Mytilus edulis: one gene and its partners. The protein of the gene in region 1 interacts with the protein of each later gene in a pairwise test. Links are inferred from orthologs where the notes say so. Each region holds a gene or a part of one and is shown on either strand. Other genes may lie near its edges.

The links. The genes of interacting proteins can lie anywhere in the genome.
Region 2: the proteins of golgin subfamily A member 2-like (region 1) and alpha-ketoglutarate-dependent dioxygenase alkB homolog 3-like interact in binary tests that used the Homo sapiens proteins (3 or more experiments, as listed by UniProt). The link is inferred for Mytilus edulis from reciprocal best matches to the Homo sapiens genes GOLGA2 and ALKBH3.
Region 3: the proteins of golgin subfamily A member 2-like (region 1) and cyclin-H-like interact in binary tests that used the Homo sapiens proteins (3 or more experiments, as listed by UniProt). The link is inferred for Mytilus edulis from reciprocal best matches to the Homo sapiens genes GOLGA2 and CCNH.

The regions. Positions count from the first base shown.
Region 1 is NC_092345.1:23,876,992-23,884,665, forward strand, and holds the start of golgin subfamily A member 2-like, read right to left. Parts: upstream 3,001-7,674; 5' UTR 2,924-3,000; coding exon 2,876-2,923; intron 918-2,875; coding exon 756-917; intron 285-755; coding exon 232-284; intron 1-231. UniProt on the Homo sapiens protein: Peripheral membrane component of the cis-Golgi stack that acts as a membrane skeleton that maintains the structure of the Golgi apparatus, and as a vesicle thether that facilitates vesicle fusion to the Golgi membrane.
Region 2 is NC_092353.1:42,728,041-42,734,883, forward strand, and holds the start of alpha-ketoglutarate-dependent dioxygenase alkB homolog 3-like, read right to left. Parts: upstream 3,024-6,843; 5' UTR 2,788-3,023; coding exon 2,614-2,787; intron 1-2,613. UniProt on the Homo sapiens protein: Dioxygenase that mediates demethylation of DNA and RNA containing 1-methyladenosine (m1A). Repairs alkylated DNA containing 1-methyladenosine (m1A) and 3-methylcytosine (m3C) by oxidative demethylation. Has a strong preference for single-stranded DNA.
Region 3 is NC_092345.1:45,276,597-45,284,350, forward strand, and holds the start of cyclin-H-like, read right to left. Parts: upstream 3,024-7,754; 5' UTR 2,829-3,023; exon of another isoform or gene 2,649-2,828; intron 1-2,648. UniProt on the Homo sapiens protein: Regulates CDK7, the catalytic subunit of the CDK-activating kinase (CAK) enzymatic complex. CAK activates the cyclin-associated kinases CDK1, CDK2, CDK4 and CDK6 by threonine phosphorylation.

The DNA of each region.
Region 1 (7,674 bases):
TCAAGTAAATAAGAAAATCGCGAATTTTAAAAGGCGCGAAACGGACTAGAATTGGTAAAACGCGAAATAAAGTATCCGCGAAAATAAGTTGGTTTACAGTATGTTCATTTGTGTGTTTACATGCACATATGTTGAATATGTCTATAAAAAGAAAAAAGGATGCAAACTTTTAATCATATGAAATATCTACATTGTACATATTGTAGGATGTTTGGTGTATATTTAACCTACTTTAGATCTTCACTATCTTTTCTGTTTTCTATGGAGTCTGGAGAATCTTTGGTCTGAATTTAAATAGGAGACTTTCAGATTACTAAATCTACACACATACAAGCAAATGTAAATACAAATGTATATAACTTTTTTTACATACTTATAAAATTCTACAATAACACTAAACTTCTTTAATAACATACAGGTATTCATCTAATAACTGTCATTGTTGGTTGACTAACAAGTGTAGACAAGTGAGCATTACTTGGATATATATGCTAGTGAGGAATTATACAATAAATATTAAATCTATAAGAAATATTTGCTCTCTCAAAGAATATCTAATATCTAATGTAGAAAATTTTGTTTTATTCATAATTTAAAAAAAAATCTACTACATACTGAAATTGAAACATGTCCTATCAGTAAATGTATCTATTACAAAAACATTAATTACATCATTACAGATAGAATATGTTTTACTCAGATCTTATCTGCTTTAGAATAACAAGGTACAAATGTTTGTCTTGAAAGTGTTTTACCTGGATTATATCTGTTGCAGAATTACCATTTAGGTTTTGGAATGTGTTTTCAGCTGTATGCTTAATTTCATTTTCTGGGTTCTGTGTACTTTCGTCATTAATCTTAGACTTTTTAGCATTTGCTGGAGAAGTTTTCCCAGTTTTCTTCTTAAACTGGTTCAACTGAAACAGAAATATAAAATTTATCCATTCATTACTGCAATTTAATTAATTATAATATGCCAGTCAAAACCAATAATCTTTCAGTTCACTAAGTTCCAAATTAAATATCTCTTTTCACATTTATGTTTTCTAGTTAGCATGGTTAGTGAGTCGACTCATGCTCCTGTCACGAGAGCATTCAATAAAGTATTATTTTCTTTTCATGAATATAACAATTTAATTTGTAAATTTTTGCTGCATATCAATCAATCCCTTTGGAATTTTCCCCCAAACTTCTCTAACCTAGCTGTATACATTTGTCCATATGCAGATAAAATCGCATGTTCCAGAACAGTAATTTGTATTGTAGAAAGTTTTAGGAAAATTCCTTTCCAAAACAAAACACCTGTCAACCCAATTAATGCACAAACACACACAATATAAAATAGTATGGACAATTCAATTGTAACCAATATGTCTTAAAATGCAATTTCCCACTGCTCAGTATATATTTAGCAGCATACCAGTCAACCTCTGAAACCTTTAAAGAGGGAGATCTCCCCTGCTTTGTCATAGATTTTGCATGAACGACATTTTCAAGTTAAATACATTTGTATATGACCTGTTTCTACAAAACTCCAACAAAAGTTAAATAAATATACTTTTTTCTTTGATTCACTGTTATAATCTATACAAGCTTGGGTTTTCAGCCTGTTTCAACACCTTCTACAATGTTCAAGTCTCATAGCTCATAATATTCCATATTTTGATTTCTTTATATATATATATGAGTTCTTTACTATTTACAAGCACGCTTACAAACATCGAACAGACCACCAGCAGAAATTCAATGATTTGAAAAAAGATTTATTGCCTAGTGAACTTGGTCATAAAAATTAAAATAAATCATTCAAATCTGCTCGACATTAGGATTTGCATTCATCTATATCTTTTTTACTCTGCCGCTTGATCTAGACAGACCTCTATCTTATTGGACTGGAGTTTACATTAGGGAGCTACCATTTGATTTTTATGGGGGGGGGGGGGGGCTAGGATGAAAAATGTTGTCCTGAATTTTTTTTTAGTTGTAATCTCTGTCCTGCCTTTTTATTTTTCACTCTATTCTGTCCTGCATTTTTTTTAGTTTATCCTGACTTTGTTAACCTAAATTGTCATCCTGACTTTTTTTTTGCAAGTGTCTCATCCTGCCTTTTTTTTTTAATCAAAATTCCTGTCCTGCCTATTTTTTTCAAATTTCATCCTAGCCCCCCCCCCCCATAAAAATCAAATGGTAGCTCCCTTACATAGCAGGACTGAATTGTGATTCCTAATTATATATGGAAGGGACATTAAAAATTCTGTCAGACCTAAGTTTTCAAATGATTGCTGATTGTTAGGTTTATTTCTATATTGAAATCAATGAATAAGTCATGAGAAATACAATCTTCGGTTATTCTAGGTCAAAATATAAAAGCAAGATATAATTTCGTCGTTTGCACAGGGGTATCCTACTCAAAACAAGACTCAGAGGGTTGGTAGGTATGTTTCGAGGCGTCTGTCTTGTACATTTGCAGAAGTGCTAGAATTGATCACTGTTGATTAACTGTTTTTACCACCAAGTTGCGGACCAAGGCTCCTACGCTCCAGCTCATTTTGCCTTAATGATCATATCAGTTATGCTGATTAATACTATATCACAGCAAACAGACAGTCCCTATTAATTTAATAACATGTATCAGCTCATTTGAGCTGATGTTTTCTTTATTTGCCGACTCTAAATAAAGCTTATTTTTTTATTATTGTGTGCATAAACGAACTGATGAACCGGCTGCTGTCAAAATAAAAGAAGAGAGAAAGAAAGAAAATATACAGAAACCAAACTGTACATATCGGTCATTTGATTTGGAAAAAATGCTCTTCCTTTACTGTACAATATATATAAATTGAGTGATAAAGGGATAATGGAATAGGATGATAACCTTCTTCCTAGCAGCAGCGATTTTCTCCCGTTTCGCAGTGTCGGCCATTCTTTACCGGATATTGCATGTGCGTGCGCATTTTCATGACACGCAGTCAGTTTGTAAAGAATCTACACGTTTAAAACGTTTTCAGGTAACTTTTTCAGTCTTGTACAACTAAAAATTACATTAACTTTCAAAAATCAAACGTTTTGCACTCCTTGTAGGAAAAGAAGTTTAGATACAGTTTACGACAGCTTTTCGGAGCATCTCTGTCTGTTTCCATAGATAAAAATGGCGCGAAAGTGAGAAGACCACAAATTTTTACCCTGAAGATCTTTGAGCTGTTTAATAAAGTAAGTCCACATTACTATATCTTGAATTTCATACTTAATATAAAACATATGAAAACGAGTTGCCTCTATCAAGCACGCTCCAGTTCAAAATTGTTAAATCCAAAATAATTTAAACAGTTATCAGTCAGTAGAAATTTTAATTTTATCTTCATTATATGTTTATGTGTTAAGAATCAGAATGTATTGTTTATTGTTGTCATTATGTCCCGCCAGGGGCCCTTAATTGGAAATAAAGAACTTTGAACTTATAATTAAGGATTTGTATATCCTTGTTATAATTTATTATAATAATTTATTTTATCATTATTAATTTGACATTAATTTGATTTCAAAAATTTATACTGTTCATGTAAACAGCACCTTTATGAGAGTCCTAAAGGGGATACCTACATGACGAACAATGGTAAAAATTCTTGCTGAATGAAGTGAACCAGTAATTTTTATGATAAAACGTACACTTTCTTTTATAGTCCAATATATACATTGTATTATAGGTTCATGTACATCATACAATCATTAGTATGAAATTAATGTTGATTGTTCTGCTCCATGTGCATGTTGCGGGTGCTGTGATTAGCAATAGAATATTTGTTTGTTTGTACATTTATATATAAGTTTTGTTTTTATACGACCCCAAAAAATTTTTGGGATTGGGCCTAAAATAAAATTTCATTTGTTTGGCATTGCCGCCCGACCCACTGAAAAACTTGCCGCCCAAATAATTTTATTTGCGTTTCAGAAATATATTTTTTTTAATTTAAAAATATCGAAATTGTGCCGGAAATTGATCGTATCCACCGAGTTTGTTCCTGGCTTTACTTATTTCAAATCATGATCTTAAAAGCGCTTGCCTTACACTGTATTGGGAGCAAACATTTAAATGACATGAAATAGAAAAAGTCTGCCAAAAGTAATATCAAAGAGGCCGGCAGGGGAAGGCATCTCCCTATGCTGCAATGTTAAAACCCATTCAAGGCGTATGATGCCATTATAAGGCATCACCTTGGTACCGCCGTATGATGCCTTAATGCATCACCTTGCTACGGCCGCGTGATGCCATAATGCATCATGGAAAACGAAAAATACTCTGACCTACTTTCAGTTTTAATATTAGATCAATTACGTAAAGCTGTAAAGCGTACGTTACCACAATGTGTGAACAGGTTTCAATTATTAATATTATGTATAAATTTTGACAATAAAAGTCATTGGTATGTCATTTCTTCGTACTTTCGATTTGCGTTCATGATAAAATAATATGCCGCCATTTTTTTTAATTTTGTTGACATGTGTAGTCAACGTGATCGCTTTAAAAAATGAAAGGTCATATCCTTACACACAAAATATTTAAACCATGTGTGTACCGCTGTTTTAAAAATTAATAATATTTACTTATGACTGTTTAATAAAAAAGATAAGCCGGTAATGGCTGTCTCTTTCTGTATCATCTTCGCATGTTGTTGATTTACGCTCTGTTGACGATCGGAAGATGGATTTTATCAAAATTCAAATTTCAGCTATTCTTTGAAAGAAACGTTCTGAGAGACCTTGTAGAGGACTCAGATTTATCTTTTGTAAAGCAGAAACAGATGATTTCTGCTTGAATTTGTCGCTTCATGAGATAGAAGTTTTTCACCGGGACATCACAGAACAAATATGCGTGGCTCTTACATTTGATGAACTTATTAAATATTTGAAATTTATCATTGACAAATTTTCCCTTGAACCAGAGAACAAAGTATCTACTATAGTCAGACCCACAATGATGCATTCAAGATAATTATGGCTGTAAGCACCAAAGCTTAAAGACCATAATGATTTACAGGTTTATAGTAGTTTTGTACCAGTAGATGCTAGCCTGGAACAAAACATACATATTTTAAAGACTAGCATCTTGTGTCAATTGAAGTACTTCCCCCTTTTCTTGCCTTTCTTCTTAACATGAATAAGATAATTCTTAAAACATAAAAGATACTGACAGAAACATATTTATAAATGAATCCAGTGTACTAGTGATGAATAAAATCCCCTCTTTTTCCACAATTCTAAGGGCTCATTAATTTATCTGTATTCATGTAATGCATGTCCAGATTTCTGTTAATCAAACAAGCATTACAACCAATAATTTATTTATCTGCAAAAATTGTCTGTCCTGCTGCATAATTCCATTTTGAATTTATCATACGTTTTAAATCCCTGAAAAACCTTGCACTTGGATAATATTAGTATAAACACCATGTCTATTTGTGCCAACCTTCCAAATTTTTGATATTTTGCTATCCTAATTTGGAACAGATCCTTTATCCTCAAAACTTATCAGGCATGTTTTTATTGTAGTTCGTCACACCTTACATGTATGATTACTAGCCTCCAGGTATTGGTTTGAGCCCTAGTTGGGCAGTTGCAAAATTAAGGTTTGATTTTCATGTCAGATGTGATAAGGTTAGTCAGTTTCCTCCCACAGGTTGCCATTTTCCTTCAAGTACTACGGTTTAGTATGGCACTAAAACTGACTGCCATGAAATTACCCATATGGTGTAGAAAGTGATGTTTATAAAACCAAAGCAAAGTTTTAAATCTTTGTCCATTTGTACAAGGAGCCGTAGTGGTTGAGCCATTTAAATTATGGTAATTTTACCAAACTGTGACCACAACTTCAAGATGTGACATCAGGCCTCTGTTCAATGGGCAGTCCCACAATAAAAGTTCAATTTTCATGTCATACATTTTATATGGTTAATTTGTCAGTTTCCTGCCTCAGTTCTGTGTTTTTTTTCTGGGTACTTTGGTTAACTTTGCCAATAAAACTGACTGTCTTACGTGAAATTATCCATATGATGTAGAATGTGACATTGATGGTTGACTCCTTTCAAAGAAACCACCAGCATGTACACACAACAATGCTGCAATGCTTGAGACAACATTGATCTGGAGACTTCATGATTTACATGTATAAGGCTTTTAAATGTAAAAAAAAAAAAATCCCTACCTACCTACCCACCTGCTGATAGTGTGGGTCGGCAATGCCAAACAAACAATATTTTAAGGGTGGCCTTGTATAATGGTATGATGACTGATGTCGTCGTCGTCCGAAGACACTTTGGTTTCCTGAAAATAACTTTTGTTTAAGTGAATAGATCTTTTATGAAATTTTTTCAGAAGGTTCAATACACCAAAAGGAAGGTTGGGATCAGTTTTGGGGATGATGGTCCCAACCATTTAGGAATTAGGGGCCCAAAAGGGGCCTAAAACAAGCATTTTTCTAGTTTCAGGAGTATAACTTGTGCACAAGTATTTTAATTGCTCTGAAATTAAACCGCAATGTTTAAAACCACAAGTAGAAGGTTTGGATTCATTTTAGGGATTATGGGGCCAAAGTTTAGGAATTCAGAACCAAAACGAGCATTTTCTAGTTTCCAGACAATTACTTGTGTGTATTTGTATGGATCTCTCTGAAATTGTACCACAATGTACCATATAACAAAGGGGAGACTGGGATTAAGTTTTGGGTTAATTGCCCCAAAATTGTAGGAATAAGGGGCCAAAAAGAAGCATGCATGTTTCTAGTTTCCAAACAATCATGACAATAAGTTGTGTTTAAGTGTATGGATCTCTCTAATATTGTACTACAAGGTTCAATACTACAAAGGAAAGCATGGGATTGAGTTTAAGGGTTATTGCCCCAAGGGGGGTTTCAAAAAGTTTGGGGGGGAGGGGGGATTTTGCTTTTACCATTTTTTAAAGGGATTTCTTTTTTTTCAGAATTTTTTAAATTTCGAATTCTGAAAAGTTTCAAGAAGAAATTTTCAATTGCACAGTATTGTGCAATAGATTTGTTAGATTTTTGACCACATTAATTTTGTGACAAAAACCTATATTATGTCAAAAATTTGATCACAATCCAAATTCTGACAGTATCAAGCTTGAATATTGTGACTAAATTTGCCCCAACTGTTCAGGGTTCGACCACTGGGGATAAAGCTGTGCCCTGCGGAGCACCTGGTTTAATAAGTATATTTATGTGATTAGAAATTGCTTTACAACGTTCCAAGATGAGGGGTCAAGAGAAACCATTGGCTTATGAAAACTTTATCAGTTTAAATATTGCAGTAACTGTTCTCTCAAAGACTTTTTAGCATCATGATAATATGATGCTTATAGATTAGATGGTGTTGATGATGTGATGCTATGATTTCTTGAAGCCAGATTTTATTTCAAATTATCCTTTTTACCAGGATTATACATGTTTATGTGATTTTATGTGACAATGTTCTATTGTTCTGACAAACTGAATTACTGAACTGTTATTATTGAATGTAAATGTAAAAGTAGAACATGTATCAGGATTTCTTGTTTATTGTTGTAAATAAAGAACATTAGAATTTCTTGTACATTTTGACAGTTGTATATAGATATCTAATGAAAAGTGTAAATATTTATATGTAGAAATCAAAATGGAAGGTT
Region 2 (6,843 bases), on another chromosome or scaffold:
GGGACGAAGTCCCTTGCCATTTGAAATGAACTTTGTTTCTTTGTGTTCATTTAAGGGGACAAAGTCCCTTGTCATTTGAAATGAACTTTGTTTCTTCGTGTTCATAAGGGGATAGAGTCCCATATTACAGTAGAAAAATCAATAAAAAAAATAATGAAAAAAAAACATCAAGAAAATTTCCCGAAATTTTCAATGTACATGTACTTATGAACTAAAAATCGTTAACTTTTTTTTGGTCACTTTTAATTCCCACATTTGTGAGGAACACAAAAATCTACTTCCTTTTTCCTGTCTCTTTGTCATGAGACTTTGAGTATACTAAAGTAACACAATCCCAATTTCATTTTTAATAAATCTTTGTCTTTGAAATGAATTAACTTTACCTGATGATCACGTTTCTTTGTTAACATTGAACATGACATCATATCTTAAATAACGTAAGAAGTAAAATCTATAACAACAGAACCTTAATCTGAAATGTTATGGTATTTCCCTTTCTTTTTTAACAATTTTGAAGTTACAAAAAAATCATTCTTACAGACTTCGTCCCCTTTCACAGGTTATGCTAGTCCAAATAATTATGACATCTTGAAAGGTTATTTTTTTTCTTTCTTTGATGCCTTACGCCTTAAAGCAAAAATTTAAAATAGCCTTCCAAGACGTCATAATTATTTGGACTAAGGTAATGCCTGCCTCATATTAGCTAATAACGCTCTTCACGGTTAGTTCAGCCATATTGGATAGGGGCAGATTTTCATAACAGAGGTAAAAATGGTGTGTAAAACAGAGCAGTTGCTTGGAAAAATGCATAAGATTTCCCACACTTTCATACTACAAATGTATCTGCACCTCTTTCTAAAAAATCTGCCCCCTATATATATATATCAAATATGGCAGAACTAACCGTGAAGAACCCTATTCAACAGTAGCAAATGAGTAGATTTATGACATAACAAGTCAAGTTAATGTGCAATTGACAACTGCATCATCAAAATATAAAAAACGTTACGGAAAACTAGAGTCATTTATTACAGTAGAAAATTCAATAAAAAAAAAAAAATCGGGAAAATTTCCCGAATTTTTATTTGTACTAATGAACTCAAAATCGTTCAATTTTTTTTTTTGTCACGTTTTTGAATTTCTGGATCGGCGCAGAAATCTACTTCCGTTTCCGGTCTTGTTTACATGAGACTTTGAATAAAATGTATATTTATCAGTCTAAGAAAGGAACTAATACTAATTCATTAAAAAAAAAATGTTTGTTATTAAAAAAATGTTACCTGATGACAGTGTTTTTTTGTTTACATTGAATATGACGTCATACCTTAAATAACGTCACAATTAATATGGGGACGAAGTCCCCATTAACAGTAGAAAATTCAATAAAAAAAAAAAAAAAAAAAATCGGGAAAATTTTCCCGATATTTTCATTGTACTAATGAACTCAAAAATCATTCAATTTTTTTTTGTCGCGTTTTTGAATTTCCGGATCTGCACAGAAATCTACAATGTACTTTCTTTACCGGTCTCGTTTGTATGAAACTTTGAGTAAAATATATATTTATCAGTCTTGTATAAAATAGGAAGGAACGCAATACCAATTTCATTTTTAATAATTCCTCGATATGAAAAAACGTTACCTGATGATAGCATTTCTTTGTTTACATTGTATATGACGTCATAACTTTAATAACGTCACAACTAAAATCCCTAACATCAGAACCAAAATCCGGGAAACGTTACGGTATTTCCATTTCTTTTGTTTAACAAATATTAAAGTTACAAAAAAATAATTCATACAGACTTCGTCCCCATTTACAGGTAATGCCTGCCTCATATTATGGGGACGGAGTCCCCAATAACAGTAGAAAATTCAATAAAAAAAAAAATATGGGAAAATTTCCCGAATTTTTCATTGTACTAATGAACTCAAAATCGTTCAAATTTTTTGTGTCGTGTTTTGAAATCCCAGACCGGCGCAGAAATGTTCAATATACTTCCTTTTTCCGGTCCCGTTTGTATGAAACTTTGAGTAAAATATATATTTATCAGTCTAGTATAAAACAGGAAGGAACTCGCAATACCAATTTCATTTTTAATAATTCCTTGATATGAAAAAACGTTACCTAATGATAGCGTTTCTTTGTTTACATTGCATATGACGTCATAATTTAAATAACGTCACAACTAAAATCCCTAACAACAGAACCAAAATCGGAAACGTTACGGTATTTCCGTGTCTTTTTTTTTGACAAATAATTAAGTTACAAAAAAATAATTCATACAGACTTCGTCCCCATTTACAGGTAATGCCTGCCTCATATTATCCCTAACAACAGAACCAAAATCGGAAACGTTGCGTTATTTCTGTTTCTCATTTTAACAGTGTTGATTTAAAAAAAAAATAATCATAAACTTCTCCATTCACAGGTAATTCCTGCCTCATATTAGATATCATGATATTATTATTAGATGTACTGGAAGAATTTTTTGTGACAAGACCAAAATCCTCTCATCAGAGCCTAACAATAAACTGAAACCCTGCATTTCCCATAGAAATTATTATTGAATATAAAGTGATATATATGTCCTCATTTTACATTTCGTTAATACCTCTTCAGATTCTTGGAACATAAATTTCTTTTCAGTATGTTGGACTTGATCAACATTTTTTCCAGTCCAAGCTGGAGCTTGAGGAACTTGGGGTTTGTTTCTGTCCGATCTGACATTTGATGGTGCAGCCCAACCACCTTGAACTCTGGATCGACGTTTGCGATCTGTATTCATCTTGGATTGTAAGAAAAAAAATTAAAATATTTATAATTTTTGTGTTTATCTCATCAACCGGATGTATCCATGGGCGCCGCCATTTTATTTGCAGATGAAAGCACTTATGAAAATTTACTGTTACAGAAACAAAATAAATTTAACTTAAAACCAACTTAAATGTTAAAACTACAGCGCATCATAACTAACTAATGACATTTTGATGGTCTGGATGGGGACCACCAATTTTTATATTCCTTGAATTTCAAATGCACTTTTTTTCAAAGGAAATGATTTAACTATTAAAATTTACTCCTTTGTTTTGATTGTTATTGTCTTTCTATAAGAAGACGATTTCTTTATTGTGTACGTCGTTTAATTCATAAACATTTTAGTCACGCCCAAGTTATCTTTCAATACAAGTCCAGAAATGACAAGTGCAAACAATTCAGAAGAGAAAACCTAAGTTATGTACAAATAATGAACAAAAACAAATATGTAACACAGCAAAACAACAACAAACACTGAATTACAGGCTCTTGAACTTAATTGGGACAGGCACATATACTGCACGGTTACATACAGAATGTGGCATGGTTAAACATACCAGGTTAGCGGGATCCCAACTACCCCTAACCTGGGACAGTGGCATTACAGAACCGTAATATATATGAACAAACTATAAAAAAAAACCAGTTGGAAAAGGCAGGCACGTCTCATCTGATGAATACAAAAAGAAATACATCTAACAAAAACACTGAGTGGACGTGGCCGAGTACCGTTCGATGTTGGTATGTACAAGACTTGTACATCCCAACAACAAAAAGACACTAATTACAGATCTGAGGGTACTCAACAGTTACTGACAGATAGTTCAAAGCCAATACCAACAATTAAAATGGACAGTTTCTCACGGTAGGAAAAACGGGGGGTGGGGTGGTGGTGGTGGTGGTGGTGGTGGTGGTTGGAGGGGTTGGGGTTAACCTCTGTATTCATTCATTAATTGTTGAGATCATTTTACTCTATTGTTTCTATTTTAGCCCCATTAAATCACTATTTTTTTATTTTTTTTATTTTTTTATAGATTTACCTATTTTTCTATTCTTTAATTGTTTTAGTCGTTTATTCTGTACCTTTCGCCCACTATCATGGCATTATTCTGTAAACCCTATACACACTTTCACAAATACATAGATTTGGCTTGGAAGTTTGGCTCAGATATCTCAGTAGTCACCTCGGTAGCTTACAATTATTTAAAAAAAAAAACAAAAAAAACGGCAACACATGACGTATATTTCGCTTTGTTTCAGTGTCAACTGTGGCAATGATTTTTGCCTATTTGCATTTTATATAATTACAAAATGAAACAGTCAACACGAGTAGACTCTTGTGTCTATTATGTAATTGCATACTTACAATACTTACATTGGCACGGTCATTAAAAGAATACAAGAGAGGTAAAAATGAAATTAAAAAGAAATAACTTGAGTTTGATTTTGTAAACGAACGTTACTGAAATGATTGTTGCTTATTTAATTTTCAGTGGCAAATATTTCATGTATGTTCAGAACGAACTTTTTACTAATAACCTTTATTCTTTCTTAAATGCAAAAAAAAAAAAAGATTCGTAAGTTTAACTATCTCCTATCTCAGTTTGAGTTTACACAATGGTAATCTCCAAGGATCGTGAATGCTTAGGGCTTGTAGATCAATGTTGAACATTAAAAAAATATCAATCAAATGATTCAAATCGCTTTACAAGAAAAAAGAAAAAGAAAAAAGAAAGAAAAAAATGAGAAGAAAAAAAAGGAAAAGATGAATGATCAATGTATAAATACCTTAACGTATATAGCTTTTTTTGAATGATTTGAATTCTTCCTTTAAAGTGAAATTTTCAACAAAAAAATATTTGTATGCATAAAATTGAAAGCATCTTAAATGCCTTTTAGAAACTTATGTATTTATTAGAGAGCCGTTGTGTAGTGGTTAGTGCATCGGACTACTCAGTAACACATTTAATATATATTTCTAAAAAAACAACTTTATGATGACAATCCTATGAATTAATTATGATATTTATTATTTAGTGATTATTATAACCAAATTCAGTCATCTGTATATAATCAAATATGTTTCCTTTTGTTTTAAGGTGTACAAATATACAATTCCTTGAACAAAGTTACAGCAGTATTTCGCCAGACCTCAACAAACGAAAATGACAAATATCTTCATAAAACTTGTGACTAGTTTTTAGCACATTTTCTCACGAACTTTCTCGTTTTCCTTATAGATAAAAGGACATGTATATTTCAACATCAACAATCATTTAAAAAATGAAAAGAAAGAAGATGTCAAGAGACCAATAAAAGCACAGGTCGACGAAATACCGACAACAGATAATAATATGGTCAAGAGAAAAAAGATTAAACACCGAACACAAATATCAATAAATTCAGTTCCTGAGCAATTCATATTATATCTATAATTGTATGAGTTATAACATCTGTAAGGTATGCTGTGCTTTGCTTTATTTAATAAAAAAAAAATGGTATTTAGTTATACTTTTAAATGTACCCTCAAGCTTCACAATCTGATTAGGTAATTAGATATTCTCGGGTTTTATCCATTTAAATTTCTTCTTTAGATTTTACCATGTTAGAATAAATAGCTGTAGGTTATTGAATAATTATAAGCAATTTTCTCTTTGATATCATCATATGATATACAAATAAAGAGATGTGACAAGATTGACAAGATTGTCAATTAGACAACTACCCACCAGTGTCCAATTCACCTGGATGTAAGGAATCAAACTATACTTTAAGTTAAAGTTTAGCAATGAATATTATAGTATTAGAGTTATTTATTTACTAAATAATTTAGTATTAATATCATGATAGTTCATATTTACTGTTTAATATTTAACATAAACAATTTCATGGTACTAACAACAATTTAATTTTCAAATTTTAACAAAGAACATGTATAGATCATCTTACTATGCAAATCCTTTCTTTTACAAAGCCATGAGGCAGATTTAGGGGATGGGGTATTCCTAATTTCTATTAGTATTATGGTCAGATCATATGTTTTTGTACGTCATATGAATCAGTACTATGCATAGTTGTGACATCACAAGTCATTATTAATAGAACGAAAACCCATGAGACGAGGAAAATTATCTATATGATACCTACATGTACATGTATCATATCAAATATGGTTTGTAATCATTTTGAGCATTTTAAAATAAACATTAAATCTAGCAACAGTCTTAACTATTCCTGATAAACAATGTTTTATGTGCACTTCAGATTCGTGAATGTTATTTTCTTTTTTCCTGTAGCACACTTTTTATCTTCTTTGATACTCAGGCTGAATAATAGAATCTAAAAATAGTCAGACTCACTGTAGACATGATAGAGGGTGGTAATGGGGGTACCTTCATGACGAATAACGGTAAAAATTCTTGCCAAATGACGTTAACAGTAATTGGTGCATGATGATAAAACATGCACTTTCTTTTAGACGATAGAAAAATGGAATGATTTTGACGAATCACGTTAATTTCTTTCTAAAAATAACAGAAACGATAATTATTTGAGACCTCTGACGAATCACGATTAGGATATTTTGACAAATCACAGTAAAATTTAAATCAATTTGACGCTAACGGTAGCAGAAAATGGACATTTGATGCCTGACGGTAAAGGGCATTACTACCCTCATAATAGATCTCATTTGTTATATTACTATAAACCAATGTACAAATGATGTACAAGATACTTAAAGTCTATTATATACATATCATAGAATAAATTCATGTTTTCAATATTTTATCTAAATTTTCATTTTAAAAGTAATCAGGTAATCATAGTACAAAATGTAGTAATCATGGTAATTGAAGCAATTTATTACATCTACCAAGTAATTGGAAAGTAATTAATGACTCCATGTCTGCTCAGAGAATGGTTAATTGCTGCTTTGTAAATGTTCATGATTTCACATCAGCACAAAGTGTCTATATATTGCAATGATCAGAAAGAAAAAAAATGAAAATATAATGCACTGTTTAAT
Region 3 (7,754 bases), about 21 Mb from region 1:
CTCTCATTCATATTTTTCTTTAGAAGACAAAGCATTGTCTTTCAATGTTGTCATTATTTGATTTAGATGCATGACCTCCTTATAAATATGCGTGGGTCTTGAAGTTAACCAATTTTGATCACTTATCGACTTGTAGGAGTCGATATATGCAACTTTTTGATTGTGGTCAATTATTTCTTGCTTAACAAGATTTGACTTATTAAAGTCATATTTTGTCTTGCATTAAGGGGAGACTAATCCTAAAACTTACAAATTTAGACCTCTATGAGTCAAAAGCAGATTCAGACTTATTTATGTCTGAGCTCTGACTGTTCCAGGTGGACCTGAGAATCTGTCCTGCTTGAACTATTGACATCATACAACAATCACTTTTCCATTGTGGTTTCAGATATTTTGTATTATGTCTTATATGACGTTAAAATTTTACGGGAACCTGTGTGATGTCCAGTAGATAGCGATAAGGTGTACAAATGTATGTGGAGGATGAAAAGGTTGTAGCACTTTTAGTGTGGGTTTGTGGTCTAAGAGGTTGATATACAGATGTCTACTGTGCTTAGGGTTCTGAGTTTGATTTTGACTCTGGGAGCTCAAACTATCAGTCAGGGGGGTGGGTAGCTGCCGTTAGGCACTTTAGGCACGTGCCTACACATAATTTTTTCACATTTATATTTTTTTATCAAAAAAAAATAATAAACAACATTATCTGTAGATGAAAGCTGGTGAAGTTGTCAAAACTCTTAAATTATCCAATGTCATGTGTACACTAGTCTCTCCTCCTTGAGTGAATGGAATATGAGATAGAATTTAATGTTTTTACGATTTTACATTATATAAAAACTATATTAAACATGTTAAAACTATAACTTTGCTCAGATCATTTCACTTCTATCAACAAAAACTTGAATGAACCTTAACTTAGACACATGAGTTTTTTAATTAGTTGTTGTCAGTTTTCAAATAGTTTACCACATTGTCTTCACCCGAAATGCCAATGTTGGTCATCTGTTTGGGTGTGCAGGATGTATAAATACGCAGTCACATCTGGTCAGAATGGGAACATTAAATCAGATGCCTAGTTGTAGAGAGAATGCAACTATTTAAGGAGTTCGTAGTTGGTCTACTGAAAGGCAAAACTTCTGCTCCTATCCAATAATCCCTCATTTTCCAATGCATGGTATTTTTAAATTTCCAGACCTTCGTCCTGGATGACACCTATTACAGGACCTAGCTCCAAGTTGTATTTATTGCAAAAAGAAAATTCAACGGTCCTGAAATTGCATAAATATTTGACACTGGATGTAAACAAATCAATCAATCAACTGGCTTCCAGTAATTTTGAGTACTCTCAAATCTGCGTGTAATGGCCACAATTATTCAAAATTCCTAAGCAGGTAGGGATTTTACAGAAGAGGATATATAAAGAAATTTGAATTTTGTTAGGCCTTAGGGTGAAGGTTTAAGATTCAAAAGATTGATGGTTGATGTCTAGCCAAAAGGATAGTTCTATTATATAGTACATTTGTAGTATCAGTGTTTACATGCCTATCTTTTTTAATGAAGGATCGTCAATATGTACTATTAATTAAGTTAACGTATATATCAATCAGAACGGAATAGATATGATAATACAAAACAGGGTGTACTGCTAAAATTAAAGGGATACGCTGATCTACGCTGGGCAATGCATATTGTAAATATTTTTCTTTATATTACGGATTGTACTGTGTTATTTAAAAATTTTCACCAGTCAGATGTTATGGTACATTATTCATAATTCTACGAAATTTTCATCATGTATTTTATAATTATCATGATTAAATAACCAGTAAATTTAATATTTTAGTACATAAAATTTTGCAGCTAAAACGCTGAAAACCATTTTCAGTCAGGGGGTTTCGCCCCCCCCTGAACCCCCTACCTGGACTGGGTTGCTCAAATCTATGGCTAAATTTAACCATTGGTTAGCTTATCCAACGGCTAATTATGTTATCCAGTGGCTTACTATCCGTTGGCTATTTTTCCATTGCTCCATGGTTAAATGGGAGTCTGGTTAGCATGGTTAGTAAGCCACTGGATAAGTTACTTAACCAATGGTTAAATGCTACTTATTACCCATAATTCATAAGTGGCCTCCAGACCCCCTGCCGATTTGTGACTACAGTTGAATGAATAGCTAGCTACGCCCCTGTCAGTACATCAGAAGGGTGATTTTTACCCTCCCACACACATCTCTGTCCCCAGACCAAAATTTAAACTGGAATGGGTACATCTGTTGTGACTTCCAGTAATGGCAGACAAATAGCACTTAGGTCAATGGAAAGTATCATCTTAGGATAATATTAGTCATATTTGTTCGGTGTGTTTTTTATGCATTTTGAGACATAATCTTCAATCTTTGTCGTGATGACAGGGTAATCTCTATTGTAGATAATCCTCTCTTGGACATAATCATGATAATTTCTTCTTCTTTTTCTTCTTCCATGCTAAGGACTGGATTCTTTAAAAGAATGTTATAAGTACACTAGACTTGTAGACGGAGAATGAGAGAAGACGACGGAAAAAAAGAGTTGAAAATCTAGATTTACGTTGCTTTCACATTGGGTGAATATTGGGTACTGTAGCATTATTCTTTTCATCTGTAAACTTACCTGTAAAGACTGTCCAGTTTTCTGCATACCTTTCACATAAACCTCGAAAAATTATTTATTTTGAAAAAAAGTATGCGTTTATTGTGGACAGGGGAAAGAAACTAACAGAACGCTTTGACCTGTGTCCAAATAGAAACCTCTAACTTCCTCCGTTAAGAGGAGCACATTATTTTGCCGTACCGCTATACTGTGTCGTCACAAGGCTTTGTAAATATACAAATGCTCGATCGTCGTAGAATATTCACTGATTGAAGTGGATTGTACTATATATGGCATTTATCTGTATCTTTTCATGAAAATATCCGTAACACACAACTTCCGAATTCGTGCAACTTCCCTTAAATTTCCTATATGGTACAATGCTTCGTCTGCTATTACGTCTCAGTTTAAACTGATTGATCGATGACGTAATTTTCGACCGTTCCTGGTAGAGATCGCGCGCGGCTTAGCGATATTATTCATGAACAACTCTTTCAGTATATGATTTGAATTTTAGGAAAACGTATAAATACTTAATGTATCAAGATATTTTTGCATTGGCTGAGCCCTCACTGATAACACTGAGAGGTTATAGCGATGTTATATATGTTGCCTCAGGTATTTCCTTGCGCTTTTTATTGATAACCGAAAATATTTGTTAAGTTAAACATATAGATAAATGATATGTTTTGTCGTTAGAAATGTATTTGTAGCTAATTTACGAAATGTTGCTTTGATCTCACTGACTGATGATTTCCTTTCTCAGCACAGTAGAGTGCTATAAAAATTATCGATAGAAACTTTCATCAAATTATAGTGAACATAACAACACGGAAAGATTTTTTTTTAGATTTAGTACTAGTCAATAATCCATCCAACATTAACAAGGTTAGTACACTACCACCAATAGGCCTTAGTGACCACGACATTGTTTATGTAGAATCTGACATTTGGTTGCGCAGGGTGAGAGAAAAACCTAGAAAAATATTGAAATACAACAAATCTAACTGGAGTAACATCAAATCAGATCTAGAAAAAACATACAAAGATCTACTAAACCTAGAGGACAAAACAAATGTAAATGACATGTGGAAGTTGACACATTTAAAACAAACCTTACAAAATCGGTGGAAAACAACATTCCTCATAAGTTCCTAACATACAAAAATAGACTACCTTGGATTCACAACAATTTAAGGAAAATGATAAATAGAAAAAAACAAGCTATATCATAAAATGAAACAAGACACCAGGTATGCTGAAAAGTACCGACGTCTGAGAAAACAAGTACAAAAAGAACAAAGAACTGCATACTGGGGTTATATTGAAAAAATGATATTAGACCTACCCATAAATGAACCAGACCAACAGTGCAACAATCAATCTAAACCTAAAAAGCTATTTTCCTTTATTAAATCACTGAGCACAGATAACAACGGTGTCGCACCACTAAAAAAAGGACAGTTAATAGATGATACAAAGCAAAAGGCAGACATCCTCAACACACAATTCCAATCAGTGTTTACAACTGAATCAAATAACACCATTCCAGACAAAGGTCCTAGCTCACACCTTTGTGCAACCTTTGCGGATTGGTATACGTCGGTGAAACGAAAGGAAGGCTAAACAAACGTATGTGCGGTCATAGATCAGACATTAACCTCAATGCTAACGACATTCTATACCAGCATTTCAATCAGCCCGATCATTCCATCGTTTCTATGACAGTTCGCATTATCGAAAAGATATACCATAGCTCTAACAATCCTAATATTTCAACGACTCTCCGTAGACAAAAAGAAGACTACTGGATTAGACAATTGGGAACTGCAACACCGTATGGCTGCAATGACAAAATTGATGGTATAGGTATTCTATCTAGTCCTTCGTGTAACTCGGTGAATGTGATGAATATTTTCAACTCGACTCCTCGACGTAGACGCAGTCATGGTCATCGTCATTATACATCACCTTCCCTGCATGATGTCTCTATTAATGACTTGCTGTCATTCATACAAAAGCCGTTAGGTATTCATCACATTCGCACGAAACTTTATTCATTACCCCTTTCAAAACTTCATTCTCTGTTCAATTTATGTTTGGAATCCACTGTTACAAACCCTCATTCAAACCAATACAAACTTCAAGCTATAATTTCGGATATTGCAAGTCACAGACTTTTCAAGCCAGTTCGCATTGGAAAAGATGAAAAAGAGAAAAAATCTTTTCTAAATCTTTCCTTTGCCAACAAAGGTCTCGATGGCGTCAACCTAGGCAATATCCTTCATCATAAATTAGTTCAATCGAAAATACCTCCTTATTTCAAAGACTAGTCTGTACCAATAATTTCTTATACCTATACCAAACCTATTGCAACTAAAATTTTCAATTACAAACGCGTTTTGCAGAATCTTGATATTGACGACTTCAAGTCTAAACCTCCTGATTGCACTTGTGCTAGTTCCCAATTCATATATAATCCTGCTGGCCACGTTATTACCGGTGACCTTAACATTGCTAATAACACTTCTCTACGAAATGTGTTATCGAAAGGTCCGAAATATCGTGAGCCTAAATCCATCAATTGGAAATACAACTTTAAAATTTTGATGGACTCAGTCGAGGATTATGCCAGGCAATGGGCTAAACGTGAAAAGGAAGACGTAGACACTCTATCCGAATGGATTAAGGCAGTGAGGTCGTTAATACAAATTAGAATCAAGAAACTGAATGGGTCCACCAATGCCCATGCTACGTCAATCTTTAAAGACCCAAATGTTGCTAAACACTTATCCGACCTCCATGATAAATATGTTGTTGTCCCCGCAGACAAAGCCCCAAATAACATCGTTTTTGTCTGTAAAAGTCACTACATTAATTGCTTGATAAACGAATTAGGTATAGACAATTCACTTGGAAACTCAACATATACCCTCACGACAATTACCAAAGAGGAAATCCTGGATAATCATAGGTCTGTTCTTTGTTCCTTTGGTATTTCAACCAAAGATGAAGAACTGGATCTTCCATCACTGTATTGGATACCTAAACTACATAAGTGTCCTTACAAACAACGGTATATTGCTGGGTCTTCCAAGTGCTCCACGAAACCTCTTTCTAAATTATTAACATCTATTTTATCAGCAATCAAAGACGAGCTTCAAAGTTATTGTGAAACTGCCTATTCTAGAGGTGGCGGGAATCAGATGTGGATACTTAAAAATTCCAAAGATCTTTTAGAGTACATACAATCTAACTCTCTTTCATCTTGTAACAGTATTAAAACATTTGACTTTTCTACTCTTTACACAAGTATTCCACATTCCAAACTAAAAGACAAATTGAAAGATTTGGTATTACTTTGCTTCATAAAAAAGAATGGCCAACGTAGATACAAGTATCTTGTCTTAGGGAGGGATAAATCATACTTTGTAAAGAATCACTCTGATTCAAACAATAAAATTCTCTGAAACCGATATTATCAAGATGCTTGATTTCTTGATTGACAACATGTTTGTAACGTTCGGAGGACGTATTTTTCAACAGACTGTCGGCATCCCAATGGGAACAAACTGTGCCCCTCTACTTGCCGACTTGTTTCTTTATTATTATGAGGCTGACTTCATGCAGGAACTTCTTAGGAAGAAAGATAAGAAGTTAGCAATATCCTTTAACTCTACTTTCCGCTATTTAGATGACGTTCTTTCACTAAACAATTCAAAAGTTGGTGACTATGTGGAACGCATCTATCTCATCGAATTGGAGATAAAGGATACTACAGATACAGTTAAGTCGGCTTCATATCTTGACTTACATCTAGAAATTGACAATGAGGGTCGGTTGAAAACAAAACTTTACGACAAAAGAGATGATTTCAACTTTCCAATTGTGAACTTTCCATTTCTAAGTAGCCACATTCAAGCAGCACCTGCATACGGGGTATATATCTCCCAATTGATACGATATTCCCGTGCTTGCATTTCCTATCATGATTTTCTTGATAGAGGGTTACTGCTCACAAGAAAGCTATTAAACCAAGAGTTCCAAATGGTGAAGTTGAAATCATCCCTTCGTAAATTTTACGGACGCCATCACGAGTTGGTTGACCGTTATGGAATAACCGGTTCACAAATGATATCGGATATGTTCTTTACGTCGTAGCTACAATCCCCTTCCCTTTCATGAATGTGACCTACCGAATTAGACTATTTACCGGATTTGTAATCACATAAGCAACACGACGGGTGCCACATGTGGAGCAGGATCTGCTTACCCTTCCGGAGCACCTGAGATCACCCCTAGTTTTTGGTGGGGTTCGTGTTGTTTATTCTTTAGTTTTCTATGTTGTGTCATGTGTACTATTGTTTTTTCTGTTTGTCTTTTTCATTTTTAGCCATGTCGTTGTCAGTTTGTTTTAGATTTATGAGTTTGACTGTCCATTTGGTATCTTTCGTCCCTCTTTTCCTTTCACATCCTGTGATAACACCACTCGAAATATCTTAACCTGGTGTCAAGAAACTCCTACACACTATAAACCCACAAAAGGCAACCGGCCCAGACAATATCAGAGGCAGAATACTTAAAGAACTCAATGACCAAACAGCTCCAATTCTTACACTTATCTTCAAAACATCACTTGAAACTTGCTTTATACCATCAGACTGGAAACACGCCAACGTAGCACCAGTACTTAAAAAAGGGGGAAAATATAAACCAGAAAATTACCGTCCTATATCATTGACATGTATTTTCTGTAAACTTATGGAGCATATCATCACTAAACAAATCATCAACCATCTTGAAACGAACAATATACTGTATGACATCCAGCATGGCTTCCGTCAGTCTAGATCTTGCGAAACTCAACTCATTTCATTCATCCAAGAACTTGCAGCAAATGATAACAACAACACTCAAATAGACTTAATTATAATGGACTTTGTCAAAACCTTTGACAAAGTTCCTCATGAAAGATAACTCTATAAATTACACTATTACGGTATCCAAAATGAAACTTTAAACTGGGTCTCTGCCTTCTTAAATGACAGAACACAAACAGTTGTCCTGGATGGAGAGTCATCTGACCTAGCCCCAGTCACATCAGGTGTCCCTCAAGGCACAGTTCTG